4 linked regions of the Saccharomyces cerevisiae S288C genome follow. The gene in region 1 interacts genetically with each later gene. Each region holds a gene or a part of one and is shown on either strand. Other genes may lie near its edges.

Region 1 (8,250 bases):
ACTCCACTTTATCTAATCACTTGGCTGATAACGTGCCAAGCACTTTACGAAGGAAAGTGTCCTCATTGGTACGTGGTTCTTCCGTCCATGATATAAATAATGGTATTGCAGATAAACAGATTAGACCAAAGGCTGTTGCGCAATCAGAAAATACATTACATTCATCCGATGTTCCCAATAGCAAACGCTCGCACAGAAAAAGCTTTCTGCTAGGCTCCACATCTTCTTCAAGCAGTAGAAGAGGTTCAAATGTCAGTTCAATGACTAACAGTGACAGTGCAAGTATGGCGACGTCGGGTAGTCATGTTCTCCAACATAACGTATCTAATGTTTCTCCAACTACTAAAAGTAAGGACAGCGTTAACAGCGAATCCGCCGATCACACTAATAATAAATCCGAGAAAGTGACTCCAGAATATAATGAGAACATTCCGGAAAATTCTAACTCTGACAACAAACGCGAAGCCACAACGCCTACTATAGAAACACCCATTTCATGTAAACCATCCCTTTTCAGGCTAGATACAAACCTTGAGGATGTTACTGATATTACAAAGACGGTGCCACCCACCGCTGTCAATTCTACACTAAATTCTACACACGGGACTGAGACTGCCTCACCCAAAACGGTGATCATGCCTGAAGGTCCTAGGAAGTCGGTGTCAATGGCTGATCTCTCCGTCGCTGCCGCAGCACCTAATGGTGAATTCACATCAACTTCCAATGATAGATCACAATGGGTAGCACCTCAAAGCTGGGATGTGGAAACCAAAAGGAAAAAAACAAAACCTAAAGGGAGATCGAAATCAAGAAGGTCAAGTATAGATGCTGATGAACTTGATCCCATGTCACCGGGGCCACCTTCAAAAAAAGACTCTCGTCATCATCACGATCGAAAGGATAACGAATCAATGGTCACTGCGGGTGACAGTAACTCAAGTTTTGTTGATATATGTAAAGAAAACGTTCCGAATGATAGCAAGACCGCACTCGATACTAAATCTGTGAACCGCTTAAAAAGTAATTTGGCTATGAGTCCCCCAAGTATACGATATGCTCCATCAAATTTAGATGGGGACTACGACACGTCTTCCACTTCCTCATCTTTACCGTCCTCATCTATTAGTTCAGAAGATACATCTTCCTGCAGCGATTCCTCTTCGTACACTAACGCGTATATGGAGGCCAACCGAGAGCAGGATAATAAAACACCGATCCTGAATAAAACGAAATCGTATACCAAGAAATTTACATCCTCTTCGGTAAATATGAATTCACCAGATGGTGCCCAGAGTTCTGGATTATTACTACAAGATGAGAAGGACGATGAGGTCGAGTGCCAACTGGAACATTACTATAAAGATTTCAGTGATTTAGATCCAAAGAGGCACTATGCTATTCGTATATTCAATACTGATGACACTTTTACGACTCTCTCATGTACTCCAGCGACTACCGTCGAAGAGATAATACCTGCACTTAAAAGAAAATTTAACATTACAGCGCAAGGGAATTTTCAAATTTCCCTGAAGGTGGGAAAGTTGTCAAAAATTTTGAGACCAACTTCGAAACCTATTTTAATTGAAAGAAAACTTTTACTTTTGAATGGTTATCGAAAGTCAGACCCACTTCATATTATGGGTATAGAGGATTTAAGTTTTGTTTTTAAGTTTCTTTTCCATCCTGTCACACCTTCTCACTTTACTCCTGAACAAGAACAAAGAATAATGAGAAGCGAATTTGTTCACGTAGATTTAAGGAATATGGATCTGACTACACCTCCCATCATTTTTTACCAGCATACGTCAGAAATAGAAAGTTTAGACGTTTCTAATAACGCAAATATATTCCTACCTCTGGAGTTCATTGAAAGCTCGATTAAATTATTAAGTTTGAGAATGGTTAATATTAGAGCATCTAAATTTCCTTCCAATATCACTAAGGCGTATAAACTAGTATCTTTGGAATTACAGAGAAACTTCATAAGAAAAGTACCGAACTCAATCATGAAACTGAGTAATTTAACGATATTAAACCTTCAATGTAATGAGCTTGAAAGCCTACCGGCTGGATTTGTTGAACTGAAAAATCTGCAATTGCTAGACTTGTCTTCAAACAAGTTCATGCACTACCCAGAAGTTATTAACTACTGCACCAATCTTTTACAAATAGACCTATCATATAATAAAATCCAAAGCTTACCACAGTCCACTAAGTACCTAGTAAAGCTTGCGAAGATGAACCTTTCTCATAACAAACTAAATTTTATAGGCGACTTATCGGAAATGACAGATTTGAGGACGCTGAACCTAAGATATAACAGAATATCATCAATTAAGACAAATGCGTCTAACTTGCAGAACCTTTTTTTAACAGATAATAGAATTTCGAACTTTGAAGACACTTTGCCGAAACTAAGAGCCCTTGAAATTCAAGAGAATCCAATCACTTCTATATCCTTCAAAGATTTTTATCCAAAAAACATGACAAGTTTGACGTTGAACAAGGCACAGTTATCGAGTATTCCTGGAGAATTACTCACCAAACTATCTTTCCTCGAGAAACTTGAACTTAATCAGAATAATTTGACTAGACTGCCACAGGAGATATCCAAGTTGACTAAATTAGTTTTCCTTTCAGTGGCGAGAAACAAACTAGAGTATATTCCACCCGAGCTATCTCAACTGAAAAGTTTGAGGACATTAGATCTACATTCTAACAACATAAGGGACTTTGTTGACGGTATGGAAAACCTTGAACTAACATCGCTAAATATTTCATCGAATGCATTCGGTAACTCTAGCTTAGAAAATTCTTTTTACCATAACATGTCATATGGGTCAAAGTTATCTAAAAGCCTGATGTTTTTTATTGCTGCAGACAATCAATTTGATGATGCTATGTGGCCTCTTTTCAATTGCTTTGTCAATCTGAAAGTGCTAAATCTTTCTTACAACAATTTTTCAGATGTATCGCACATGAAACTTGAGAGCATTACCGAATTGTACCTCTCCGGTAATAAGCTCACGACATTGTCGGGTGATACAGTTTTGAAATGGAGCTCTTTAAAGACTTTAATGTTGAATAGTAACCAAATGTTATCTCTGCCTGCAGAATTATCAAATCTCTCACAGCTAAGTGTATTTGATGTTGGAGCAAATCAATTAAAGTATAATATATCAAACTATCATTACGATTGGAACTGGAGGAATAATAAAGAACTAAAATATTTGAATTTTTCAGGAAATCGAAGGTTTGAAATAAAGTCATTTATAAGTCACGATATTGATGCTGATTTGTCAGATCTGACAGTATTACCTCAGTTAAAGGTACTAGGTTTAATGGACGTAACTTTAAATACTACCAAAGTACCGGATGAAAATGTCAATTTCCGTTTAAGGACAACTGCATCAATAATAAATGGGATGCGCTACGGTGTTGCTGATACATTAGGTCAAAGAGACTATGTGTCATCTCGTGATGTTACCTTTGAAAGATTCCGCGGAAATGACGACGAATGCTTACTATGTCTTCATGATAGTAAAAACCAAAATGCAGATTATGGCCACAATATATCAAGAATTGTTAGAGATATTTACGATAAAATACTGATCAGACAACTGGAAAGGTATGGAGACGAAACAGATGATAATATAAAAACTGCACTTCGTTTCAGTTTTTTGCAACTGAATAAGGAGATTAACGGAATGCTAAATTCTGTTGATAATGGTGCCGATGTTGCCAATCTTTCATATGCAGACTTGCTAAGTGGCGCTTGCTCTACTGTGATATATATCAGAGGGAAGAAACTCTTCGCTGCAAATTTAGGTGACTGTATGGCTATTTTATCCAAAAACAATGGTGACTACCAAACGCTAACCAAACAACATCTCCCAACAAAGCGGGAAGAATACGAGAGGATCAGAATATCTGGCGGGTATGTCAACAATGGAAAATTAGATGGTGTTGTAGATGTGTCTAGAGCAGTGGGTTTTTTTGATTTGCTTCCCCACATTCATGCTTCTCCCGACATATCTGTCGTGACATTAACAAAAGCAGACGAGATGCTTATTGTAGCAACGCATAAGTTATGGGAATACATGGACGTGGATACAGTTTGTGATATCGCGCGTGAGAATAGTACTGATCCACTCCGTGCCGCAGCTGAGTTGAAGGATCATGCCATGGCTTACGGCTGTACAGAGAATATTACAATTTTGTGCCTTGCTCTTTACGAGAACATTCAGCAACAAAATCGGTTCACTTTAAATAAAAACTCTTTAATGACTAGAAGAAGTACTTTCGAGGATACTACATTAAGAAGACTTCAACCTGAGATTTCTCCGCCAACAGGTAACCTAGCAATGGTCTTCACTGATATCAAAAGCTCAACCTTCTTATGGGAGCTATTCCCTAACGCAATGAGGACCGCAATAAAAACTCACAATGACATTATGCGTCGTCAACTACGAATTTACGGTGGTTACGAAGTAAAGACAGAAGGAGACGCCTTTATGGTGGCATTTCCTACGCCAACTAGTGGTCTGACATGGTGCTTAAGTGTTCAATTAAAACTCTTGGATGCACAATGGCCGGAGGAAATTACCTCAGTTCAAGACGGCTGCCAAGTTACGGATAGAAATGGTAACATTATCTATCAAGGCCTATCAGTTAGAATGGGTATTCATTGGGGCTGCCCAGTTCCAGAGCTTGATTTAGTGACTCAAAGAATGGACTATTTGGGGCCGATGGTCAATAAGGCAGCAAGGGTCCAGGGCGTCGCTGACGGTGGTCAGATTGCAATGAGTAGTGATTTTTACTCTGAATTCAACAAGATAATGAAGTATCATGAGCGAGTAGTGAAGGGCAAGGAATCTCTCAAGGAAGTTTATGGTGAAGAAATTATCGGAGAGGTTCTTGAAAGAGAAATTGCCATGCTGGAAAGTATTGGTTGGGCATTTTTTGACTTTGGCGAGCATAAGCTAAAGGGACTCGAAACCAAAGAACTCGTTACTATTGCGTATCCTAAGATTCTTGCTTCCAGACACGAATTTGCATCTGAAGATGAGCAGTCAAAATTAATCAATGAAACGATGTTGTTTCGTTTAAGAGTCATTTCAAACAGACTGGAATCTATAATGTCAGCTTTAAGCGGCGGATTTATTGAACTAGACTCTCGGACGGAGGGAAGTTATATTAAATTTAACCCTAAAGTTGAAAATGGTATTATGCAATCGATTTCTGAGAAGGATGCGTTGTTATTTTTTGATCATGTAATTACTAGAATCGAATCCAGTGTGGCATTATTACATTTACGACAACAGAGGTGTTCAGGACTGGAAATTTGCAGAAACGATAAAACATCTGCTCGAAGCAATATTTTCAATGTTGTTGACGAACTTTTACAAATGGTTAAGAACGCAAAGGATTTATCAACTTGAGTTCTGTTCGTAAATTATGTACCACCCTGTTACTCGTTTCATATTCACGCTAGAGAAGTACCTCAGCTTACTAGATCCATTCACACATTGCAAGTATACTAAAACTATATAAAATTTAAGTACGTAAACTCTTTACTTATTATTATCTTCAATGTCATCACGTACTTAATTATGTTAAATATAGATTGTGTATAAATAAGAAATAGGATCTGTTTTGAAAAATTGGCCAAAAAGGCAGATTTATTAAGCCTATAGAGATAAGGTTCTTGCCATTTTTCATACATTTACTGTTTTCTCTTGAATGACTATAATATTGCCAAAATTGCCTCGAATATGTTGTTTCATCTCCTCTCATATTTGGCTTTCTAAGTCTTTTAGTTGTATTGGTGATTGCTCCAATTCTGAATGATTACTATGCTGCTGACTAGGCGTAACCAATCCAACTTCTCCTTCATTAGGATCAACCAAGCCCTCAAAAAAGGTGTCTCTAAGCTCTCTCCATCTTGTTGTCCATGTCCCCAAAAATATTAGTATTAAAGATGATAAAATTTGAAGAAAAAACCAAGAAAAAGAAGGAAATTTCCGAGTATAGAGGAACACCACAATAAAATTGATGGCATGTATAGTGATAGCAAAATCCCATGCGAGTTTACTCCGTCCAACGATAACAGTTAAGAAAAAAACACATATTAATGAATCCAGAAGCCATAACAGTGAGATTGATAAACCGTATGCGTTCGTAAAGTCGATATTCTCCCAAGAAAACAGCCATTCCTTGATATTGAGATCATATCCCGCTAGCTTCGCCCAACAATAAAAAAGAACGATCGCTGTGGTGTAATAAAAAATCTGTAAAAGAACAATTTGAAGTCCAATCTTACTTGGAGAGAGAGAATCTTGTTTGAAGATCTGGGAAGGTTTCAACTCATTCGGCACTCGCAAATACCTTCTTATCGAAACCATGTTACAGTAATTCAAATGCCTATTTTTTATCTCACTTCTATGTGTACCCTTCCTTAGCCTTCCTAAAGATCATCTCTTAACATGAAGTTACAGAATATTACCGTGAATATCGCGAGCTACGAATATTTTGGGTGGGGAGATATTTATTCATGATTAGCCTTGTCCTATAGTGTTACAATGGAGCAAATTGTTCACCGTTAGTATTTTGAATACGACAATATTAAATGAATAATAGCGCCTATCTCTTGTTACGTTTGGCGATTTGTATACCTTGTTAAATAAACTGATTAAAAGCCGGGTTATGGCCGTACACAAGTTATTAGAAAGCAAATACACTTCCTTATATCTGGTCACCTAGTTAATAAAAGGAAGTCTTTAATTTTGGCAAAAACCACTATATATATTAGTCAACAACTGAAATATTACCAGAATTTGTCTCCTAAATGTCGTTCAGCGGAAAAAAATTTAGGTCTAGAAGACAGCAGCTAGTATATGAAGCATCTTTAGCGGGGCGATACAAAAAAGCATTGAGTAAGCACCCCTTTCTTTTTTTTGGTTTACCATTTTGTGCAACAATAGTATTGGGTTCGTTTTGGTTGTCAAGCTTTACAGCGATCAAGTACGAGCAAGGCGATCGTAAAGTTCAGGAAATTAATGAAGAGGATATCTTGAAAATAAGGAAGAATCAAAGGGAATTTGATATTAAAGAAGAATATTATCGTTTACAAGGTCTTTCTGAAGAGGATTGGGAGCCTGTGCGCGTCGCTAGGTTAAAGGATGAATCTGAGAATGTCTGGTAACATTCAAAACGTGAACATCTTTGTTATTCTTCTGTCCTTAAACTACTAAACAAAAAAAACTATGACCATTGATTGTGCAAAGAAAAGACCACGAGAATGTCTAGGAAATGATTGTAAATACCTTTATTCATTGGAAAATTCTTATCTATAAAACTTATAAAAAATTAAATACTGAATTTATTGCTCTGCATCATAAGGTATATATCATTCAAACGTGAACTCAGTTAGTTACGTTCATGTTCAAAGTTTTTAAGACAAAAACTCCCATTAGTGCGGTGAAAATATAGCAAGCAATAGACAGAGGCTTCTTGAAAAAAGAGCTTTTCGGGTAGTCGTACTTTATCAAGACTTGGCCATTGGCAACTTGACTAATCAAATTTCTGTAACTGAAAGTTAATTTAACGTGACCTTTATTTAGGTCAAAGTATGATTTCTGGGTTTCTATAGAAACATTTGTAAAAGGGACTGGAGAATCAATATCGAATATTTCGGCCCCTTCCGGAAGAAATACCGATAATTCAACATTATCATATACAGTGTCCGGTGGGCCGTTTAGAATTGGGATAGAAGCAACGAATTTCTCGTCTGAGCCAGAGGATACATGCAAGAAATCGGACAATTTATTAGTCCAACCGACAGTAAAATTGTAGTTCCAACCTCCAAAGATTGGGAATCTTGGTCTTATAAAGAAATGGTCACGTTCTGCATGCGACGTGGAAACAAGGCCAACCAAATCAGTGAAATAATGATCAGTAGCTCCCTCAGGCAGGAGCATGTCTAAGACAGTAACAAAGTGAGTTTGTCTCATATTCTGAGTTTGAATCTGTTTCATTAATTCTAATCTTGAAAATCCTTTAGACAGTTTTGCGGCTTTGTTTGTTAATTCATAATATTCCTCAAATTGTATTGTGGAAGCCCAATGAGAAAGCCAAATATCTCTTCTCAAATTCACTACCTGATTCAATGGGGCATTGTGGGAATAAACAATTGCTAAGGTTTCGTTTGAAGAAAATCTCGGAATATCTTCCCAAGGCCCAAACTCAAAA
Region 2 (3,913 bases), on another chromosome or scaffold:
TGGCTTGATGTCTCTGTGAATGATGTTTTGCTCATGCAGATACTTCAATCCGGTAAGTAACTGTTTGAATAGAGCTTTGGATTCATCCTGTCTCAAACATGTTTTTCTGACGATTCTTTCAAATAGTTCGCCATCGTCGATCTTTTCCAGTACCAAATATTTTTGAATCTGAGATTTGCTGATTGGCTCTACAAAACTATCTAGTAAGTTGACAATGTTTGGATGTTGCACTCTCATTAGGATGTTAGTTTCCTCCCTAAATTGTTTATTCTTTTTTTGGTCGTCATTTTGCTGAGCGTGGAATATTTTCACAGCTACTTGCTGACCAGTTTTTTTGTTTTTGGCTTCTTTCACCAGGGCGTAGTGCCCTGCACCTAATTCTTTACCTAATAAATATTTATCAAAGAACGACACAGGCCTTGTCTTATTCAGTTTTCTAATTGCGGCACTCGTTGTAGCATTTTGGCTACTTGTAGCACTTATTTGCGGTTTCTTGAAAACTTCGTCGTCGTTCTTATATGAACGACTTTCTGAACTTACCTTTTCATCGTCATTTTCGATGTCAGTAGAAGATGAAGATGCGTACTTGAACAAAAAGGAGCAACTTTTGCCAAAGACAATTCTGTCACCATTCTTAAGGATGTAGTCTTTCTTCACCAAACGATTACCATTAATAAAAGTTCCGTTTCTGCTCTTATCGATAACATTAATCAAATTTCTTTGGAAATTATCCACATCCATTTGCAGTAGATGAAACTCAGCATGGAAAGTCGAGATGTCAGGCTCACTCAATATAACGTCGCACGACCTACTTCTACCGATTGTAGTAACGTTTCTATTTGTTATTTCCACTTTTTGCTCCTTTCCGGGTATTAAGTTCACCAGATGGCCCAGACAAGTGTATTCTGAGCTGGGCTTATTACTTCGTTGCTGTCTTTTGAATGAAGAGTCAGTTACATCACCAGAGTGCTCTCTTTTCGTGGACAAACTCATCTTCACTATAATTGCCTTTTTTACTGTATGTTAAGCCCCTTTACTTGTTACTCTCGACTATAAAGGGTTCTCATTTCCTCCTTTTTCAACAATATCTAATAATTTTCCAAAATCATTTGAAAAATACCATGGAAATAAAATGGAAAAAAGTAAACAAACGCGTCGCGTCACGTAATTTTTTTCTTTTCACACACATACCATCGTATTACTATTTTTTCTATGGTTATATGTCGTATGTATCTATTTATGGTATTCAGGGGCTTCTATTCCTTATCTTCTAACTCATAAATGACTTTGCCATCAGTAATAGGGTTATATTCTTTGTTTAGGAACTGTGAGAACTTTGTTAAGTTATTTAAGCCTCTGATTTCTCCAGCACATAATGGCATTTTAACGACATGGAAATCTTCGTACAATTCGTCGATTTGGTCCAAGTACTTCTTTTGCATCTTCCATCTTGCCTGACATCTCTTACAGTTGTGCTCTTGATCGTTTTCAGCAAATAATAATTGGTTGACAATGATGGAATTAACGTCCATATCGTAGGAAATCAATTCCTGAATTAGTCTTTCAGTTTCATATAAGGATAAGAATTCACTGATACAAACGCAAACAAAAGTCGTTAGGTCAGGATCCGTGAATTGTTGTCTGATGGTCTCGACATTAGCCTTTAACTCGTTCAATTTTCCAGAGATATCGACATTACCTGCGCCCATAAAAGAGTTTAGCATTGGGCCCAATTTGTTGGTAATTTCACCGAACTTTTCCAAAAGCTTGGATAAAGTATTTGGTAGTTGTAGAAATCTTAATGTGTGGCCAGTTGGAGCAGTGTCAAAAATAACAGTATCGAAGGTTTCACCTTCGCCCTGTTCTTGCCTTTTAATGTGCTTCATGACTTCCATGAAGGATAAAGCTTCGTCGATACCAGGGATGGAACCGGTCAAATCAGCAAGAGCACCACCTTGAAGCAAGCTTCCTAGATCGTCACCTTGACCGTCACTTCCGTTATTGTTAGCGCGTGAAACTGCCATGTCGTTCATATCCTTCAAAGCAGCGGATGGATCGATTTCCATACATGATAGATTATTCATGCCTGTCACCTTTCTGGCGTCTTTACCAAATTTCTCACCGAATGCATCACTTAAGTTATGGGCAGGATCAGTAGAGATCAGTAGGAACTGTTTGTTTGGTTGACTCAAAGCCATTTGGATAGCAATGGAACATGATGAAGTAGTCTTACCAACACCACCTTTACCACCAACGAAAATCCACTTATGAGTGGTAGAGGTAATTAAAGAGTGCAAATTAGGTTCCACGGTTAAATCCATAATTACAATGTGATGATCTTCTTGTTCTTGTCGTACGTTTTCCTAAACGCTGCGTTGGCTTCCCTCAACTTGTTTGAAGTTGCCACCGTTTTATCCATTTTCGCTTTTGAAAAAAAAAAAATGGTTGAGAATCCCCAGCACTATTAATTAGTACTATTGTTACGAAGATCTTGTGATAAAAAAGGGATGTAATAATTTGCATTGAACCAACCTGAATTGAGCAAGTTTATCATATAGTTACAATGTCTGAACAGGAGTCTGATGAAGTTAAGCGTATGAAACAATTGGAAGAGGCTAGAAAGAGAGTAGAAGAATTGAAGAAAAAGAAAAATAAAAAGAATAAAGGTAAGAAGAATAAAAATAGCAGTGCCACAGGCTCTATAGGATCTGAAACTCCTGATTTAGAGGGCACACCAGGCGAAGAGTCCACACAGGAGGAGACTGTGAAAGCAAATTCCACCAAAAGTGAAAACAACGATCAAAATGACGTGGATGAGGAGAGTGAAGAAAAAGAAATAGAACAGGTTAAATCAGATCCTTCGGGCACAACAGAAAAAGATATTGAGGAAATAAATAGTACTTCATCAAATGTGGGAAAGGATGATGCAGAAAACACAAAAAAAGAGGAAGTTCAAGAAGTTATAAAAAATAACAACGATGAGCAAACAGCAGATGCCGGAAAGACCATAGAACCACAAGAGGAAAAGAAAATTGTACAAACTCAAGAAGGAAACGAACCTTCAAATACATCAGAAGCAGCAGACGATTTATTTGCCAATGACGGCAATGAAGAATCTGACTTTCTCACCACGATTAAAAAGCAAAAAGAAGAAGATGAGTTGACCAAACTAAGGGCGGAAAATGAGAAACTCACACAGGAAAATAAACAACTGAAATTTTTGAATATGGAAAATGAAACTACTGTCGATGACCTACAGGATCAATTGCAGGAAAAAGAAGACATCATTAATGGTTTACAAAACGATTTGCAAACCGCAAGGGATGAATTAATTGCCGCAGTAGAAAAATTAAAATTAGCAGAAGCTAAGGCAGCAAGAAATACCACAGCAACTCCTATTCAATTTGCGGATTTCAACACTTCAAGCAATAATCTAACTCCCTCACAATCTGTAACCAATTCTGGTACGCAGGTGGCCCACGGGAATAATATGGAAGTGGATCGCGTTATGCTGAACAAATGGCGCCAGTGGAACGTAGACATGACCACTTGGAGAAGTATTGGTTCTGGCCCAATAATGGAATTTTGAGAATGAATATTTTCGCGTATATATTTTAATTAAGGGTTTATATACATAAAAGATATATCTAATGATCTGATCTGAGTCCCGACTTTTTATATGTGCTCTATGCTTGTATTATGCTCATTTATCTTTACTTGGTTTCTCATTTTTTAGAGGTGGCAAAATTGGAAAATCCCATCATTTGACTGACTTTTGATTCACTCTCAATAGAAGGCTTAGTAGCCACTTTCTTTGCTTTCTCCACATCTGTGTCCAAAAGCCTTTTCCTCTTGGACTGAGTCTCCATAGAACGCACCTCTACAAAATCCTTTATCAAGTTATGATAGCACA
Region 3 (8,176 bases), on another chromosome or scaffold:
AATTTCGTCATCCAGTTATTAGAAAACTGGATGGAACCTTTTTCTTGCACATTAAAAATGGCATTTGTCCTTGTCAGGATTTGGGAATAAGGCTCAGTTAACCTTATTAACTTTTGTGATGTTTTTAACATGACATATTACAGGCGTCAGGATGGGCGAATAATCTAGAAATCGGCAAAAGAAGCTTCGAAAAATTAAGTTTTCAACCCTAAGAGCAGAAAGTAAAAAGAAATAGCGAAGTACAATAGAAACGACAATGACTAAGACCATCACAGTTGCTCATATCCAGTATGATTTTAAAGCTGTTCTGGAAGAAAATGATGAAAATGACGATGAATTTTACATCAATGTTGACAAAAACCTAAATGAAATCAAGGAGCATAAGATAGTAGTGTTAGGAAATAGCAGGGGTGTAGATGCAGGCAAAGGAAATACATTTGAAAAGGTTGGCTCCCACTTATACAAGGCGCGGTTGGATGGACATGATTTTTTATTCAATACTATCATAAGAGATGGTTCAAAGATGCTCAAGAGGGCGGATTATACTGCCGTAGACACAGCTAAACTTCAGATGAGACGGTTCATATTAGGCACTACAGAAGGCGATATTAAAGTATTGGATTCAAATTTCAACCTTCAAAGAGAAATTGACCAAGCTCACGTTAGTGAAATAACAAAACTAAAGTTTTTTCCAAGCGGTGAAGCTTTGATATCTAGTTCACAGGATATGCAATTAAAGATCTGGTCAGTAAAAGACGGCTCAAATCCTCGCACGTTAATTGGACACAGGGCGACAGTCACAGATATTGCCATAATAGACCGAGGAAGGAATGTGCTCTCTGCCTCTTTGGATGGTACAATTCGCCTTTGGGAGTGCGGCACAGGAACGACAATTCACACGTTTAACAGAAAAGAAAACCCGCATGATGGTGTTAACAGCATAGCGCTGTTCGTAGGGACAGACAGACAATTACATGAAATTTCTACTTCCAAGAAAAATAATCTAGAGTTTGGAACATATGGAAAATATGTGATTGCTGGTCACGTTTCTGGTGTTATTACTGTACATAATGTATTTTCCAAAGAGCAAACTATTCAACTCCCAAGCAAGTTCACATGTTCATGTAATTCATTGACAGTCGATGGCAATAATGCAAACTATATTTATGCCGGATATGAAAATGGAATGCTAGCTCAATGGGATCTAAGATCACCGGAATGCCCAGTTGGTGAGTTTTTAATTAATGAAGGCACCCCAATAAACAATGTCTACTTTGCAGCCGGAGCCTTATTTGTATCTTCTGGATTCGACACCAGTATTAAGCTTGACATTATTTCAGACCCAGAAAGTGAACGGCCCGCTATTGAATTTGAGACGCCCACCTTTTTAGTTTCCAATGACGATGAGGTCAGCCAATTCTGTTACGTTTCTGATGATGAATCAAATGGGGAGGTGCTTGAAGTTGGAAAAAACAACTTCTGCGCTTTGTATAACTTAAGTAATCCTTAACCTCTTTCGTACTAGTAACTTTTTCAAAAAAGTTCACTTCGCTGCATGAGCTTGGCGTAATGCGCTTTGAGGGTGATAATGCATTTTATTTCCATATGAAATATGTCTAAAATAGAACAATTCACTAAGAACAAGAAGGCCAAACTAAGCAGAATATGGTAGAGTTGACAATTACGGGTGATGATGATGATATATTGAGTATGTTTTTTGATGAGGAGTTCGTTCCCCATGCATTCGTTGATATACTCTTATCAAATGCCTTAAACGAAGATCAGATTCAAACGCAATCAGTATCCTCATTGCTATTAACCAGGTTGGATTTTTACACAAAGAACCTTACAAAAGAGTTGGAAAGCACCATATGGAATTTGGATAAATTATCTCAAACGTTACCAAGAACTTGGGCATCTTCTAGGTATCACAAAGAAGCAGAACAGAACGATTCCTCATTGTATTCTACTGAATCCTTAAAATCATCGAAGCTTGAATATTACTTAGATACGTTGGCAAGTGCTGTAAGAGCATTAGAAACAGGAATGCATAATGTAACTGAGAAACTAAGCGATCTAGATAACGAAAATAATCGCAATACCAATGTGAGGCAACAACTGCAAAGTTTAATGTTGATTAAGGAGAGAATTGAAAAAGTGGTATATTACCTGGAACAAGTTAGGACCGTTACGAATATTTCGACAGTTAGAGAAAATAATACAACCAGCACGGGGACAGATCTTTCGATAACAGATTTTAGAACATCATTGAAAGCATTAGAGGATACAATCGATGAATCTTTAAGCTCTGCGATTGATAACGAGGCTAAAGATGAAACAAACAAGGATTTGATTGGGAGAATTGATTCACTTTCTGAACTGAAATGTCTGTTTAAAGGCCTAGATAAGTTCTTTGCTGAGTATAGCAACTTTTCGGAGAGCATAAAATCAAAAGCACAAAGTTATTTATCAACCAAGAATATTGACGATGGTATGATATCATAATCGGTGATAAAAACAAAAAATTTGCAATTAACAAAAGAAATTTATAGCATGTTTAAATTCTTATTTCTTTTTACCATTTCCAGTCCTTTTGGTCCACTTGTAATGCATAAAAGGGTAAAAAGGAATTTGTTTAGGAGGACATGCTATTTCAGATAGTTTCTTTTTATTGATTATATAATATAGTGTACAATTTTGAAAATATAACTATTACACACATCTTTTCATTTGGTCACTTACATTTGTATAAACATATAGAGCGCGTCTATTAATAAAAGGCGGTGGACTCTGGACTATCAGATTCCTCCAACAGCGCTTCTTCATCGTCGTGTTTTCCAGTATGGTTTTTTCTGAGGAACTCGAGTCCAAATACGTACTTGAATCTTTGAACGAAAGCAGCCGGAAATACCTTCACTGCTACTTCATCGGGGCAGATTCTCACTAGCACCCCCATGATTAGAGACAACATACCACACAGTACCGCGGTTATCCACATTGATTTGGTTTGTCTGGCAATAGAAAATGGTGCGCCACCAAAAAACATGATTAAAACTTGACAGCTGCCAATGATCGCCATGATCGTGAGAAAATAATAGTTTCTACCCAAGTCTTGGAAGAAATTCAAATTGGCGGCAGAAATCCTGCCTCTCCAGTTTGATATACCATCACCTTCATCTAATTTTCTCGATACTAACATGGTAAAAAATTGCAACCAAACAAAAGTGTTGAATGTCATGGCATTCAGTTGCTGCTGTTGGTGACTTGTTATTTCATCTTCATGTTTCTTGAAGAATAACTCTGGCCCGTAAAAATGCAAAATGAAAGTAACTATCAACTGCAATGTAGCTTGTGATAGAATCATTTTCCAAGTTGACACAGAAATCAAAGAAGTTGAGCGGCCCCTAGGTTTTCTGTCCATGATATTTGGATCGGGTTTATCAGTGGCTAAAGCTAAAGCTGCTAGAGTATCCATGATTAGATTGATCCATAACAGTTGGACCGCCGTCAGTACTGATGTTTCATCACTAGATGCAACGGATGAAACGAACGTTAAAATCACTGCGGTGATATTAACAATTAATTGAAACTGTATGAACTTTTTTATGGAGACTGAAACACATCTTCCCCACTTAATAGCGTTGACAATAGCTGAGAAATCATCAGTCATCAAAATAATGTCAGAAGCCTCTCTGGCAACCTCCGTACCGGAAATACCCATTGAGAAACCAACATCAGCTAGCTTTAAAGCTGGAGCATCGTTCGTACCATCGCCAGTGACCGCAACAACATCTCCCATCCCCTTCAATGTTTCTACTAATAACCTTTTATCCTCAGGCGAAGACCTTGCTAAGACCCTTAAATTTGGCAGGATTCTTATACGTTCGTTTTTCGTTAACTTTCTGAATTCAGTGCCTTCCATTGCAGAATAAGCCTCTGAACTAATATCAGTAGAAAGAATCGCACAATTCCTCGCGATTGCTTTTGCTGTTAATATATTGTCACCAGTAACCATACGCACAGTTACACCAGCACGTTGGCACTGTTGTACTGACTCCCTAACGCCTGCACGTAAAGGGTCTTGAATCCCAAGTAAACCATCTAGAATTAAGCCCTTTTGACTGTTAAATAGCAAGTCAAGAGCAGCTATATTTGGTGAGTCTTTATCACGCAGCTGTTCAGGGGGCCAGCTATCACATTCGCAGAAATCTTTGTGGGCAACACTTATGGCTCTGAGAGCATCGGACGCAAGATTTTTGATTTCATCATCAGTTTCTTTTTTATTGTCCTCATTGATTTCTTCCAAAGTATCATCTGAATTCCTCTTGTACGAACAATTCTTGGAAACAATTTCTGCTGCACCTTTAATGAAAAACCTGTAAAATGGTTTTTTATTTTTGCCTTCTTTGTACTTTACCACTAAGCCGGCCCATTTACGAGAACTTTCAAACGGAATTGTTTGAACAACTTTTTCGATATTAAACTTTTCCATCGGTTGATCTCTCAAATATTGCAATTCTCCCGGTTGTAATCCTAATGATAATCTTGCCAAACTGAGTAAGGCTGTTTCCGTTTTAGAGCCAATAAAGGGTTCTTGCCTACCCTTGTTGACATTTTTGAATAATTGATCCTCGTCATCTTCCCTGTTGCCTTTTTTAAAAAACGATAATCTAGATTTACACTTATCTAAAAAACTCAAATTTTTTGACATATTTTTACTACCATTTGTATTTTTATCGTTTTTCTTATAATCTCTGTTTTCGAAGGCGGTAGAATTCAGGACAATATTGGCTAATAAATCATTTCTCAAGGATGACGAACAATTTTCTTCAAAAACTTTCTTAGAATTCAGCTTCCTTTGTTCGCTAACGGGCAACGATTTACTATCATCAAATTTAGAATTGCCCGGGAAGCCACGAACGACAGTCATGACATTTTCTGTCAAAGTGCCAGTCTTATCAGAGCACACTGCAGTAGCAGATCCCATCGTTTCACAGCTTCTTAAAACCCGTACTAAATTACCGTCTTTTGTCATTCTTGTTGTTGCAAACGCTAAGGCCAAAGTTACAGCTAATGGTAAACCTTCCGGAACAGCCACCACAATAACCGTGATAGATGTGATAAAAATGTTCATAAATTTAGAACCCTTTTGAGCGGGATCTAGATCATGGAACCTGCCATCCTCAGGTATTATGTAAAATAAGTACCTAGTGAAAAGGACCAAGAAAAGAATTATAGCAGACACGCAACCGTAAACGGATATATTATCAGCCAATTGGCTCAAATGTAACTGTAATGGAGTACTTTCAGGTTCGGCATTTAATGAAGTCATGGTTTGACCGTAAACTGAGTTTATACCCACGGACGTGATGACACCCCTGCCCAAGCCAGAGAGAATTCTGGAACCTGAAATCAACATACAATCAGCAATCTTGTTACCGTCTTCGTTAACGTCACCTATATCTAATGGTTTGCTATGGTTATGACTATCGATAGAATTAAATTTTTTGAAATCTCTTAATGAGTTATCCACCGGAAATTTCTGTATTGTGTTAGATTCACCAGTGATGGATGATTCATCTGCCTCACACTTCCCTGATATCATAACACAATCAGCGGGGACAACATCACCGGTTTGTAATGAAATGACATCACCGACTAAAACGTGGTGAATGGAAATTAATATTTCCTGATCATTTCTTATGACTATAATTTTACGGTTTTCCTTCTTTTTATTTAGCTTTGCAAATTGCAACTCCTTCTGGTAATCGTTAGCGGCACTCACTAGAACTACCACAAAGACCGCAATCATGATAGCAACCCCTTCAATCCAGTCAACTTGCTTAATTTTATTTCCTTCAGGATCATACTGTGGAGGTTGCATCCATAGTTCGTATAGACCTAAAACAAAGGAAACAACAGCGGCGACTGTCAGTAATTGCATTGTTTTGTCATTAAAAGCAGCCCATACTAATTGTAAAAAAGACTTTGGTATTCTTTCAGGAAGTGAATTATCGCCATAATTTTTATACCGGTTTGTCTTTCGATAATTTGATATTTCTGGAAGAGAAATGCCTGCATTTTTATCTGTTTTCAAGTATTTGAAGAGGCTGTTAGACTCATATCCAAATAATCTGACAAATGATCTTATTGATTTAGGGTTATGAAGATCCGAAAGTTGACTTTTTGATAATTTGAAATTATCGTAGACTCCGTTCTCATTTCCCGTATACGATGGTTTGTTATTTTCATTATTCGCTAGTAAAGCAGAATTTTCGTCTTGTCTAGACATTATTTTTTTTGTTACGCACACAGTTTTTTTTTTTTTAGAACCACTTTTCTAAACTTTATTTGTTCAAGTTTTATTTCTTTAATTCAATGTCGTATATATGTGATACAATTCTCTTAATACACTTAGTTTTTACTGGAGGCGCATGAGTTTTTTGACGTTTTCTTAAGCCTTTCTATTGAATGAAAATTACCAGAAAAGCCCCTTCTTCCTCAAATTTATGAAAAAATGTTTATTCTTAACCTAAGCCTTCTCAATTGAATCGTGCCAACCTGACTAAAATGTAGTTTGGGGAAGTGAAAAAATCTGAAGAGATTATTTAATTTTTCGTTAAGCCTGCAATTTATTTTGGTAATAATTGCTAGAAAGAAATCGAATATTTAACGCAATTCAAATAAAGCCTTTCCTTGGGGGGGGGCTGATACTATTTGAATGTTTTTGGAAGGCGCCCATTAAATGCAATGCCAAGTGGCGATGATAATGAATTATGAAGATTAGCATTTGTTTAAAAAGCGTGGAGGGCGCTTCTAGGGCCTGAGCCTCCTAATTTTCTTTTCCCCCTGACAAATGATGGAGAAGCTTCTTTGCCGGGTAAAAACCCTTTTTTTTTATCTTTTCTGCGGGCGGATAAAGCTGTTAGTGCCACATGTTTCTATACAAACTGTATTAAAGTAAAAAAATTAATAGACAATTTAGGCCCCTCAAATGGGTAAAATAGAACATATATCAGTATGCACAGCTCACTATTTTAAAAGCGGCAGGCTTGGAGCTGTAGGACCACACTACTGCGACAAAAAAAGATAAAGTTGTGTTTTATTTATGTTTTGCCGTAAGATCGATACTTTTCTTATTCTCATCAAGAAAACACAAACTGCCAAGAACTAAGAAAAGAAGAGCCGTAAACAATGCTTGTAAACCGAAGTATGAAAAGAAAAACTTGATAATTAAATCATCCCCTTTGGCTCAAATATTTATTTTGTATTATTCATGCTTGATTAGTTTAAGAGTGAACTTTACTATCTTAATTTTATTTTAGCCTTTTCAGCTTATGGCACAATAGTGAAAACAAGATCATGTTAAGTTCTGTACCAGAAGAGAGAACCGATAAATAGTTTAATAAGCAGATCAATGCCAAGAATAAGATAAAACAACTATGGAGACTGATGTAAATATACTTGAAGCCGGGCAATAATATAAGCACCGTGAGCCGATTCTCCTCGATCCTACACTGCACCATATAACGAATGGTCTTGGACTATGGAAGGCAGTAACCAACAACAGAAAAGAGAGATTAATTAGAAAAAGACATTTCTCGAGAGAAAAAAAGTAAAGACCTTATCGTACAACTGTTACTGACATTTTTATTTTAAGAAGCTAAACCCTTATTATTAGCGCGCCCAAGTAGGCGCAAAACTAGAGAAGTCGCAGATGCATCCACCCACTTTTTGCCTTATTTTTCCTTAATTTCAGAAATATAGTTAAAATGAAAAACAAGGACAAGAAAAGAACGGGAAAAAGAAAAGGGGGATTAGCAAACAAAGAAAAGTCCAATAAAATGATTACAGACAGCATTGGATGCGATGAGATGGCAACCAGCGAGATGAGAGCATAGGATTTTCATCCTAGCTGCTTTAGGGAAGACGCACAAAACTTTGTTATGTTTGTAGTAAATATAGAAAAGAAAACAAAAAAGTGCTCGGACGAATCCGGTAGAGCTGTGTCTAGCCTCAATAAGTTTGCCGCATTTGGTAAATCAAAACTGTTTTTCTCTCCGTCATTTGTTTTGAAGCTTGTTCTGTTAGTTTAGGGAAATAGAAAAAAAAAAAAAGGGAAAAAGAAAGAAATCATATGCCCAATGGAGTACGAGAATTGGGGAAAAAGCCTCCA
Region 4 (10,295 bases), on another chromosome or scaffold:
CACTAAGTTTTAGTAGTAGTTCTATGGTTTCCTTGAAATTCGCCAGAGCTTCATCAACCGATATGTGGGGCACTTCTACATCAACCGGTATGCCATGTAGCAACGGGTTTTCACTTTCGGACTTAGTTTTTTCTTGATCTTCTTCTTCATCGTGTGGTAGACTGATATGCAACCCTCCCATATCAAAGCTTGTAATGCTGCTACATTCAGAAAAAATGGAGTCATCAATATCTTGCTCCTCCACATCCGTAGCATCGCCAATTTCGAAACTGGCAGTTGGAGATTTGAAGAGTGGTGATCTACGGCGAGGTATGCTTAGCCCGTTTTGTTGATGGAAAAGATCTTTATCAAAAATAGAACTTGTGCAACCCGTGGTATCCTCTAGCTCATCATCACTTAGTTCAAAATTGGACGTTGAGCTAAAATTAGTGCCATTAATACACGCGCTCGAATCATCACCCATGGAACTATATAATCCTTTCCCTCCATTCAATAGCCCCACCTGAAAATTGTTTATGTTCTCTATATTCTGCGCCAAATAATTATTCATTTCATTAGCGGATTCCAACAGTTGCTCTACATGTATTCTATTTTTTGAACTATCTGTTGTACCGCATGGCTGTGCTTTCTCAGTCTTGCCTTCTGCAAGACCAGGCGTATTTGATCTAGACTGGTCCCATTCACTTGTTAAATCTGAGAAATTCTCACTCTGTAAAAACTTTGGTTTCAAAGGTAATTCGAACGAAGCGTTATAATCGTCCACAATTCCCAAACTGACTGGACGTATATCACCATCATCAAACTCCTCTGTGTCAGTGGTGTGGTTTTTAGTCATGTCCATTTTGCAAGTAATCTATTTGCGCATGGAATACCTATATTATGCGAGTCGAAGATTATATAATAGCAGGTATGGTTGAACTGATTGAACACCAAAGCATATCGATCTGTGAAATTCACTCAACATGCTTTTAAAGTAAGGCAAGTTCTAAGTGATTTCCTACAAAACATCGCTGAGAAAGGAAAGAAAAATGGCATGATATGGAGTAAGAATCGGATCGGTGCAATATACTCCGAGCTTCCCGAAAAGATATATTCCGGGCCCAAAAATATCTGGCTAAAACTATGCATAATACTTTTACTACTTAGAGTCATACGTATTAAAAAAGGTATTTAAAAAGATGGAGATATGTATTAATCGCTCGGAAGTGATTAGTACAATCTGAAAGCTGGACCCATGGAGGACTTAACAACCAAGGAACCAACATTTTGCCAGTTCTTCTTCAACAAAGAAACAAAGAAGTTAACAGACATCAAGATTTGGTTAACCAAAACGTCTTCTTCCATTTCAACGTTACCAACGGCAACAGCCAAACACAAGACCTTCTTCAATTGGAACTTGATGGTAGATCTGACATCAGTGACCTTACCGTACAAGTCATCGTTGTGAGAAACTGGGGTTGGGAACTTACCAGCCTTGGACAATTGAGGACCCAATAGTCTTGGAACTTGCTTGATCAAAACTTCGGAAGCAATGAAAGCGTTGTACTTCTTAGACAACTTCTTGATTAACTTCTTGTTCTTGTTCAACTTCTTCAAGTCATCGACGGACATAGCGTCAACACCGCAAGACTTAGCTCTGTCAACATCGAAAGCATCACCGAAGATACAGATGGACATGTTTGGTCTTGGACAGTTTGGCAACTTCAAAGAACCAGAGAAACGCTTGTCTCTTTGAGGGTCATAGTTCTTCAAACCGACTTGTAGTTCGACGGTTTCCAAGAAGTTTCTCTTCTTGGTTTCGTTGGAATACTTCAACAATTCCTTGACGTGTTCTCTGACTTGAGAAGAGGTGATCTTAGACATTTTATGATATGTAATTAGTCTTCCAAAGTATTTGGTGGTCCGTGAGGCTTGCGACTAGTTCTATGGAGTCTTTCCTGAAACTTCAAGAGGTTACCAAATAACGTAATGCTCAAGAAGTGCTGCGAAGATGTACTTACATATCTTAATCCAAATACAACACTCTTCCCATTGATTGCGTCTTTCTTCCTCGGACTTTCCAATCTGAGGCCAAAAGATGTCTATGGCATTATTGTGTGCGAAAAAAAAGTTTCAGGAAAAAAAAACTTTAAATATTTGAGGTTGCACCCGTGCATATTGAAAGATGTATGGGTTCAAAAATGTCCGTATTCAACTTTTGCCAAAAGCTGATAGCTGTTTGGCCTTATGAGGTAAGGTTTATGAACGCAGTCTTCTTCATTGCGATCTAAAAGTTGATATGTTAATGGAGATAATGGTAGAGTAAACTGAATTTTTTACAGTCCCCTTTCTTGAAATTAAGCAAGTTATTTAGCTAACTTACATACCATCTTCATGTATCGTTTTTGATTTTTCAGTTCTTTTTTAAAAAAGAAGATCAAGTAATTTGTTCTAATCAAAGAAGAAGGTTCAATACCGTTTCTCTGGTATTTGTAAGATCTCTTTTACTGGCGTTCTTTTAAAAATGATCAGGTCCGGTTAAAGGGCGTCTCCGTCAATGAGAGAAAAATGTCAGCCTCTGATATAGATGGAAGTCGTAGCCATCAAGATGGGCTTATCCGAGGTTTGAAGTAATGACTACACATACTGACGGGAAAATTACAGCATGATTTTAGTGTACAATCGTATCAGGAGTATAATATCGTCTTCTTTAGGTCGAATACATGTACGGTATAATTCTAACTCACAAAACAGATGGCTGAATAGACAACTGAAGGATCCCTACACAAAAGAGGCCAAGGTCCAAAATCTGAGGTCTAGAGCCGCATTCAAGCTTATGCAGATTGATGATAAATATCGGCTTTTTAGCAAAAACAGGACCGATCAGAGAATTCTAGATCTTGGGTATGCCCCTGGGGCTTGGTCCCAAGTAGCACGGCAAAGAAGTTCACCTAATTCAATGATACTGGGCGTTGACATTCTCCCTTGTGAACCTCCGCATGGTGTGAACTCTATTCAAGCTAATATATTGGCCAAAAGAACTCATGATCTTATACGGCTCTTTTTTTCTAAGCATTTCCAATTGAACAGACACGATGATTTGCATAAGGACCATGGCTATTTCCAGAACATGCTCGAGGAGGAGCTAACCCATGTGAAAGATACTGAATTGTACCGTGAAATTTTCACCTCTGATGACATTTATGAAACTCCGAATACGAATAGTACCCTAATAGAACGAGAAAAATTCCCAGTTGATGTGATTATAAGTGATATGTATGAACCCTGGCCCCAAACAACCGGTTTTTGGAACAACATTACTAATCAAGCTTATTTTAGGATGGCTAATACATCTGGTGTCAGTATAAGAGACCATTACCAATCTATTGATTTATGTGACGCAGCCTTAGTTACGGCTATAGATTTATTACGGCCATTAGGTTCGTTTGTTTGTAAACTATACACCGGCGAAGAAGAAAACCTATTTAAAAAAAGAATGCAGGCAGTTTTCACTAACGTTCATAAGTTCAAGCCTGACGCTTCTAGAGACGAATCAAAGGAGACCTATTATATCGGATTAAAGAAGAAAAGAAATGTAGATAAACTGGACGTGTTTAGTAATTCATAATATGATTTGTTTGCGCGCAAAGTTTCAAGTCACGTTCATTTTCACACCTATCGCAATAAAAATAAAAAGTGTACATCTGTATATATATATGTTTACCATCCATTAAAGATGTTTTCTCATTCGTTGATTAGTTCTTTATTTGTCTTTCTATGAGGTGGTTAACTCTCTTCTTCCACAGGCTCCGGCACTGCCTCTCCTTGCTCCGGCTGTTGTTCTGATTGTTGTTGCTGGGGAGCTTCCTCTTCTTTTTTTTCGGCTTCAACTGCCTCTGAGTTGGATTCTTTAAACTCGCTGTCCTCAACTTCAGCTTCTTTGTTTTCGTCAGCTTGTTCTGGGGCTGGAGTGGAATCTAAGTCAATGAGTGGTTGGGCATCTCCTGAACTCGAAGAGCCTGGTAAACCTTCGGCCCCACAAACTCTTTCTGATACAGTATTCTTACCGTTGAGTATCAAATTTTCCTTCCATTTTGTAACAATATCGTTGACTGCATCATCTCCTAAACCGTATGTTGATCCAAGGAAAGCGGCTTCGGAAAACCTTTGAGACTTGATTAAAAGATCTTTAGCGCCTTGTATATCGCCAGCGATCCAATATGCATTAAAAGCCAAATTGAATTTACCGGCCCTTTCAGCATCTTTAGCTAAAGTGACCAACCCCTCCTTGTTATTAAAAGATGAGTGCAATAGAAATAAAGATTCTAGATCATGTGCATTTGTGAAAGCTTCAACAGCAAGTTTAAAATTGAACCTTTGTAAGGAAGCATCACCCAAGGCTCTCCATTTCATTTCGGCGCTTTCATCTGTCAACAAATCGCGAGCAAGCGTAAGTTGGCCGACTTTTAAGGCTAGCTCAAATTTTTGATCTTGATCAGGGGAAATATTCAGTGCTTCTTCATAATACTCTTGACCTTCCAGAAATCTAGCAATTTTTGTTAAAGAGTCCTTACCCTCAACATTTGGGAGTACATTTTCAATGGCTTCTTCAATTTCCCCTCTTAAAGTCAATGTTTGGAACTCCAGCACCTCTAGAGATATTTCGTAACCATAAACATGGACCTCTCTGTCAGCTAAATATACTTTATTATCACGTGCTAGATAGCCCAATAGATACATTTCCTTTGTGTAATGGGCTAAATTATAAGTCTTTCCACCTACGAAGTAGTTCAGCCTGTTAGTTGCTGTGGTAAAGATAAAGACATCACCAACCCATTTGCCTGATGTAATGGATTCACTTAGTTCATACAATACGTCAAAAGCCTCATCAACACCTTCTGAATCGTCGATATTGCCATTATTTGCTGCTTCAAGGTAAGCATCCTTGTTGAATAATAATGTGTAACCACTTGCTTCATCACCATTACTATTGGTGTTGACAATCATCACCAGCTCACCGTTATCGGACCAAATGACATCCTTAGCATTAACATCAATTCTTCTAACTAGCGTACCGTTGTCCCAATCGAAGAAATAGACGAAGCCATCAGACTTCACACCCAACAAGGCACCTGAAAATAATCTATCAATAGCAGAATGCATTGGGACAGACCATGATGTGACTTCTTTAAAGTTTTTGTAGTATTTAATTTGCCCAGTTTCATCAATTAAAGCATAACTATTGGAGTCGGGGCCCCAAACAAAGTCTTGACATTTACCGAAGGCTTTGTTTCTCCAAGCCAACGCCGTATAAATAACGTATTCACCATCCCCAACAACTGTAACAAACCTACCATTTGGAGAATGGGCTAAAGATTGAGGGAAAACATCAACGGAACCCAGCTCCTTAGTTTGTAAAGATAATGGTTCATCTTGTTCAACTTCTTCGTTACCTCTTATGACGGCAGTGAAAATGTCTGAAGCTGCGGCATTTTTGCCACCTGACCATACTAGCTTACCGACAGGGTCAAGTGATAAAGTTGGTTCATCATTTCCCAAGGAAAGTACGGTAAACCCATTATCAAACCCGGATGCAATGTAGTTTTTACGTCCTGTTGGATGGGTAGCGATACACCAACTTCTTTCTAAACCAACGTTTAAAGTCTTTTCTACCTTGTAAGTGGAAGAATTCCATATCTTTAAAGTGCCATCTTCGGAACCAGAAATTATAATGGGTAAAGTTGGATGGAAAACAGCAAAAGAAACATTGGACATGTGACCTTCTAGAGTGGCTACACATGACTTCGTTTGGTAATCCCAAATTTTGATGGTTAAGTCGTCCGACGCAGTAATCATATAAGGCTTGTCAGGTAGCGGGTAATAATCAACATAATTCACACCTCTTTCTTGTCCTGTGGTTAACGTGAAATTTGGTGTCGATTGTCCCAATGACCAAACTTTAACGGTTCGGTCCAAACACCCAGATGCAAACGTACTAGGATCCTTTGGATTGAATGCGACGCACATGACAAAGTGTTCGTGACCTTCAAAAGTTTGTTCTAAGGCCCAGTTATTTTCCCAATTCCATAGTTTGACTGTCAAATCATCACTGCCGGATAAAACATAAGGCTTTGTTGGATGTACAGCAATGGAACGGATATAGTCTGGATGAGCTTCGAAATCAACAACTTTTTCACCTGTATTGTAGTTGAAGACTCTGATCCTGAAATCATCACTCCCAACAATTATCCAATTCTTTCTTGCAATGAATTTACCTGCTCTAACAGGAGTTTCCGTAACTTGGATGGATCTAACTTCAACTTGTGTTTCGTAATTCCAAAGCTCAACACGACCAGAGTACAAGGTAGTCAAAACCCATGGCTCAGTAGGATGGAAATCGATACCTTTAACTCGATCGGATCTATTACTAAAAGTTTTCTATCATAAATGTACAGTGTCAAATAAAGGAAATGCCAAGAGCAAATGCATTTATTTCAAAAATCTTCCTGTTAGTAACTAATCTTAATGTTTGCTTTTTGCAGGCTTTGTATTCTTCGCGAACGAGATCATTTCCTAATCATAGGAGTTGTCGGAGCTTGTTCGCAATTGCATTGGCAAAACGCGCTCTGGTAACATACCTTTATATCCAACTTCATCGTGTCCGTATAATTGTTTCGATTGGGTGTCTTAATTCACCATTACAAGCTACCATTTATTGCAGCTTTCTGTTATTTACTCCCAAATCTTACACGACATGTTCCTAATGCCAGCTCGATTCATTCATGAAAAAAAGACAGTTTATTACCCGCTCATTCGTCAGACGCGATTAAAATTTGACGCCGCGTCACAAAATAATCAATTTGATAATAATATATTTGATATTATTGTCCATATTCAATAATTAGTAATGTGGATCTAATGATTTTTATACAGCTCAATACAAAGCAACAAAACTAAAAATAGATTATAATATCCAAAGTGCTCCTCGGATGAATGTACAACTTTTTAGAATTTTTCTTCTTTTTTATAACGTACACCTTATTTAAGAGCACTTTCGTTCAAGGAAAAAGTTCATTTCCTGGACATGATGTGTGTAAGTTCGAAGACCAAAATTTCCAGACAGAGTTCTTCTTAAATGTTCTTAAAGGTGACAAGTTACAGAACTTGAAGCAGGAGTACGAACAATACAAAAAACAAAGTACTTTGTACACAGGCTTTGTAATTGAAAAACAATATGAATACCAGGTAGCGCCCTTGCAAATCAATAATTTTCTTCAAGTGACCTTTTGTAAAGGAGGAAAGCCAATTTGGAATCATATTCTACCCTTTCAAAAGGATTTAGATTGGGCAGAACCACTATGCATTCCAGCCCAGGAGGATGATACTATCTCCCAAAACAGCTCAGTATGTTTCAAGTTTGCAAGGGTGCAGAAATATACACAGCGTAATGTAACCCTTTACTTTCCTAATAAATTTGTTGGATTCGTATTTGTTTGCAATTCTTCAAAGACGCATCCCCCCACTCAGAACAATTTTGAAACTATTCCATTAACGCCTATTATTTCTGATGATATTAGAGATTACAAAATATCTTGGTCAATTAAAGGAAGAATCACCAAGGTGGTACCTTATCTACATTCGTTAAGTATTCCTATGTCCAAATATGAGATGCTCATCCATTCAGATAAGAACATATCAAACGAATTGGAATATAAATCCTTAACTTCGGAGTTTTGGAAGAGCTATAAAAACTTAAGAAAGTTTAAAAACAAAGAAATGTCTTGGATAAACGAAATAAATCCTATGGAGCAATATGATAGCTCTGGGAATGAAAATGTCCCGAATTTTCATGAAAAACTAGACCGTACAATAAATCGGATTGCGCAAAACATAGAAAGGCCTCATGATGCACTAATAAGAGCGATAGCCGCACATAATAGAAACTCTAATAGTGGAAATATTACAAGAAGGAAATATTTGAGGAGGAAGATCTCAAAGATGTTAAAAAATAAGATACCTCTTAAGAACTGAACAACTTACACATTCCTATTCATGAAAAAACATAATTTTATAATAAATTGTTTGTTTGATTCGATTAGTTTATTTAACTTGATTAATTTAAGTATTTATTTTTTTTTAATTTGTTGTTACACGAGGAGTATTAAAAATATGACAAACTGGGATATTACAACATAGAAACAAAGATAACAAAAGCTATCTATTTTAAAAAAATTCATATTAAGCAAACTGGTACAAAGTGTTTTAACGTTATTAATGAAAAAGAAAACTTGGGAAACTTCTGACAAAAACAGAATTTAGAAGGTTAGAAGGAGAATGAGAAAAACCTGTAAAATTAAAAATTTTTATGATAGGAGCAGAACTTTTGTATATCGTAAAGACTCACATAAATCCTTCATCGAAGAATCCAGGGGGTTTCCTCAGTGGTTGTTTATTGTTTCCCAAACTATTTATGCTGTCATCTCGAACATAGTTTTGCGACCTAAATCCTCCGTCCGAACTTGAGGTATCTAAAAGGTCTCCTTCAGTGGAGTCGTGAAATGGATCGGTATTTGAACTTGTATCTTCCTCTTCAAAGGAATTGATCAGTCCATTATGCGCATCAGACTGTGATCTTGTGTGTCCTGGATAAGGTTTAGAGCCTAATGTTGATAGGTTTTCTCGTGAAAGATTCGTTAAGTTGTGAGGAAACGTTTGTTGTTTTGGAGCTTCAACTCTCAGAGCATCTGTGCTTGCGTTTTCATTCTTAGGCCTAGAGAATTTACTTAATATTTTCTCTGAAAACGTAGGCTTGTTATCATCACTTGATGTTACGGTTGTGGGAGTGGTTTCATCCTGTGCTTGCTTTAGCTCATCATTCACACCAGTATCATTTGATTCGTAATCTGAATTGTCGTCATGGTCTTTTGCCACATTGCCCAACGCAAGCAACTCGTTCGCTACTGATCTATTAACAGTACCTTCTGGTTTCATAGTGTTCCTTTGGAAAGAAGTTCTATCGTCCTTAGCAGGTTTAAATCTTAGATCGGGGTTCTTTGAGAAAAGCATCATACCAGCGAATGCCAATATCATCATTAGTAAAATGAACGAAAATGCAGCGTTCATAATGAAAAATATCCATCCCATAATAGCAGCCACTTTGTAGCTTTGGTTAAACAAGTCCGAAAAAAACATGAATAGAAAGGAATTAACTACAGTAACAGTAGCAATTAAAATATTCATTATGTTTGTTGGACGGTCCAGATAGGGCTTATAGTAGATAATAGCAACGAAGTAAAACAAATCCAATATGAACATGAAAAGAACTTGTGTTTGACCAGAAGCCTGAGCAAATCCAACCAATAATGATTTTACAAAAATGTAGGATAAAAGAACAATGTTCCACCAGTAATGATTGGCATTGAACATTGTATAGAAAAATCCGTATTTGTGTAAGACATATTCATCTCCATACAATAAGGCTGCTGGGTTGTTGTACAATGCAACAGATCTTCTTGCGAAAAAAACAGTCCTCCATGCAGCCCAAAGCATTAACCCACATGACAAAAGAATAAAAAGGCATGCGATGACGATAACAGCAGGTGAATCTCTTTCAGTAAATTCCCAAAAACTGAGAATTGTTAACTGAACGAAACCGATGTAAATATATCTTAAAAGAGCACCTTTTAAGATCATTCTCCATTGTTTCCTGAATTCCCAAAACCTTGCCTTTTGGATCCATCCTAACCGGGTGGCTAACTCCACACAGCATTTGAATACTATGATAAATCCAGCCAACACATATCCACATAAGACGAAGAAAGTAAAACCGGTACAAACGATGGACGTATTTTCGATTCCCATTTTATAGCCTAGCCTTTTGATTCCTCTAAAAATTAATGTATTTGCATTACCATACAAAACATTGGTAGCTCTTTTGATTAATGGGAGCTCCATCAAATATTGCCAACTTCTTTGAGCCAAAACAGACATAGATGTTGAAGTCAGATATAAGCTAGGCGTACCACCAGTGGATTGCACATACCACCGGAAAATCCTTTGCATGAATGAGATTCTAATTAACCCCATTGACCAAACCAAGTTTTCCGCCCAGGCGGCTGCAATAGGCGGAACTCGATGAACATGTTGCATGGCAACCACGACAACAGATTGGAAGTATAAGAAAAGTGACATTGTGTTGGCAGAAATATGTGAGGCTGCGGTAGAGTTCCCAAAAGTGGATAAGATGGCAGATAGTAAAAGACCAATTCCCGCTACCACTGCAGTTGCCCATTTTACACCAATCTGAGAAACTGTTT

What was found.
Region 2: mutations in SYS1 (region 1) and GET3 together harm fitness more than expected from each alone (negative genetic interaction), as found in Saccharomyces cerevisiae (5 studies listed by BioGRID, with this or other methods).
Region 3: mutations in SYS1 (region 1) and COG7 together harm fitness more than expected from each alone (negative genetic interaction), as found in Saccharomyces cerevisiae (4 studies listed by BioGRID).
Region 4: mutations in SYS1 (region 1) and SEC27 together harm fitness more than expected from each alone (negative genetic interaction), as found in Saccharomyces cerevisiae (4 studies listed by BioGRID).

The regions. Positions count from the first base shown.
Region 1 is NC_001142.9:425,797-434,046, forward strand, and holds SYS1 (Sys1p), read right to left. Parts: upstream 6,405-8,250; coding exon 5,793-6,404; downstream 1-5,792. Other genes in the region: CYR1 (adenylate cyclase), read left to right, coding at 1-5,441; COX16 (Cox16p), read left to right, coding at 6,848-7,204; dolichyl-diphosphooligosaccharide--protein glycotransferase subunit OST1, read right to left, coding at 7,425-8,250. UniProt on the Saccharomyces cerevisiae protein: Necessary for the targeting of ARL3 to the Golgi. Involved in protein trafficking. May serve as a receptor for acetylated ARL3.
Region 2 is NC_001136.10:280,856-284,768, forward strand, and holds GET3 (guanine nucleotide exchange factor GET3), read right to left. Parts: upstream 2,322-3,913; coding exon 1,257-2,321; downstream 1-1,256. Other genes in the region: serine/threonine protein kinase DUN1, read right to left, coding at 1-993; BUG1 (Bug1p), read left to right, coding at 2,564-3,589; U4/U6-U5 snRNP complex subunit SNU23, read right to left, coding at 3,726-3,913. UniProt on the Saccharomyces cerevisiae protein: ATPase required for the post-translational delivery of tail-anchored (TA) proteins to the endoplasmic reticulum. Recognizes and selectively binds the transmembrane domain of TA proteins in the cytosol.
Region 3 is NC_001139.9:484,037-492,212, reverse strand, and holds COG7 (Golgi transport complex subunit COG7), read left to right. Parts: upstream 1-1,665; coding exon 1,666-2,505; downstream 2,506-8,176. Other genes in the region: RPN14 (Rpn14p), read left to right, coding at 257-1,510; calcium-transporting ATPase PMC1, read right to left, coding at 2,771-6,292; YGL006W-A (uncharacterized protein), read right to left, coding at 6,680-6,790. UniProt on the Saccharomyces cerevisiae protein: Acts as a component of the peripheral membrane COG complex that is involved in intra-Golgi protein trafficking.
Region 4 is NC_001139.9:246,209-256,503, reverse strand, and holds SEC27 (coatomer subunit beta'), read right to left. Parts: upstream 6,636-10,295; coding exon 6,618-6,635; intron 6,418-6,617; coding exon 3,766-6,417; downstream 1-3,765. Other genes in the region: PCL10 (Pcl10p), read right to left, coding at 1-841; 60S ribosomal protein uL1 RPL1B, read right to left, coding at 1,210-1,863; MRM2 (21S rRNA (uridine2791-2'-O) methyltransferase), read left to right, coding at 2,645-3,607; YGL138C (uncharacterized protein), read left to right, coding at 6,973-8,010; FLC3 (putative flavin adenine dinucleotide transporter), read right to left, coding at 8,380-10,295. UniProt on the Saccharomyces cerevisiae protein: The coatomer is a cytosolic protein complex that binds to dilysine motifs and reversibly associates with Golgi non-clathrin-coated vesicles, which further mediate biosynthetic protein transport from the ER, via the Golgi up to the trans Golgi network.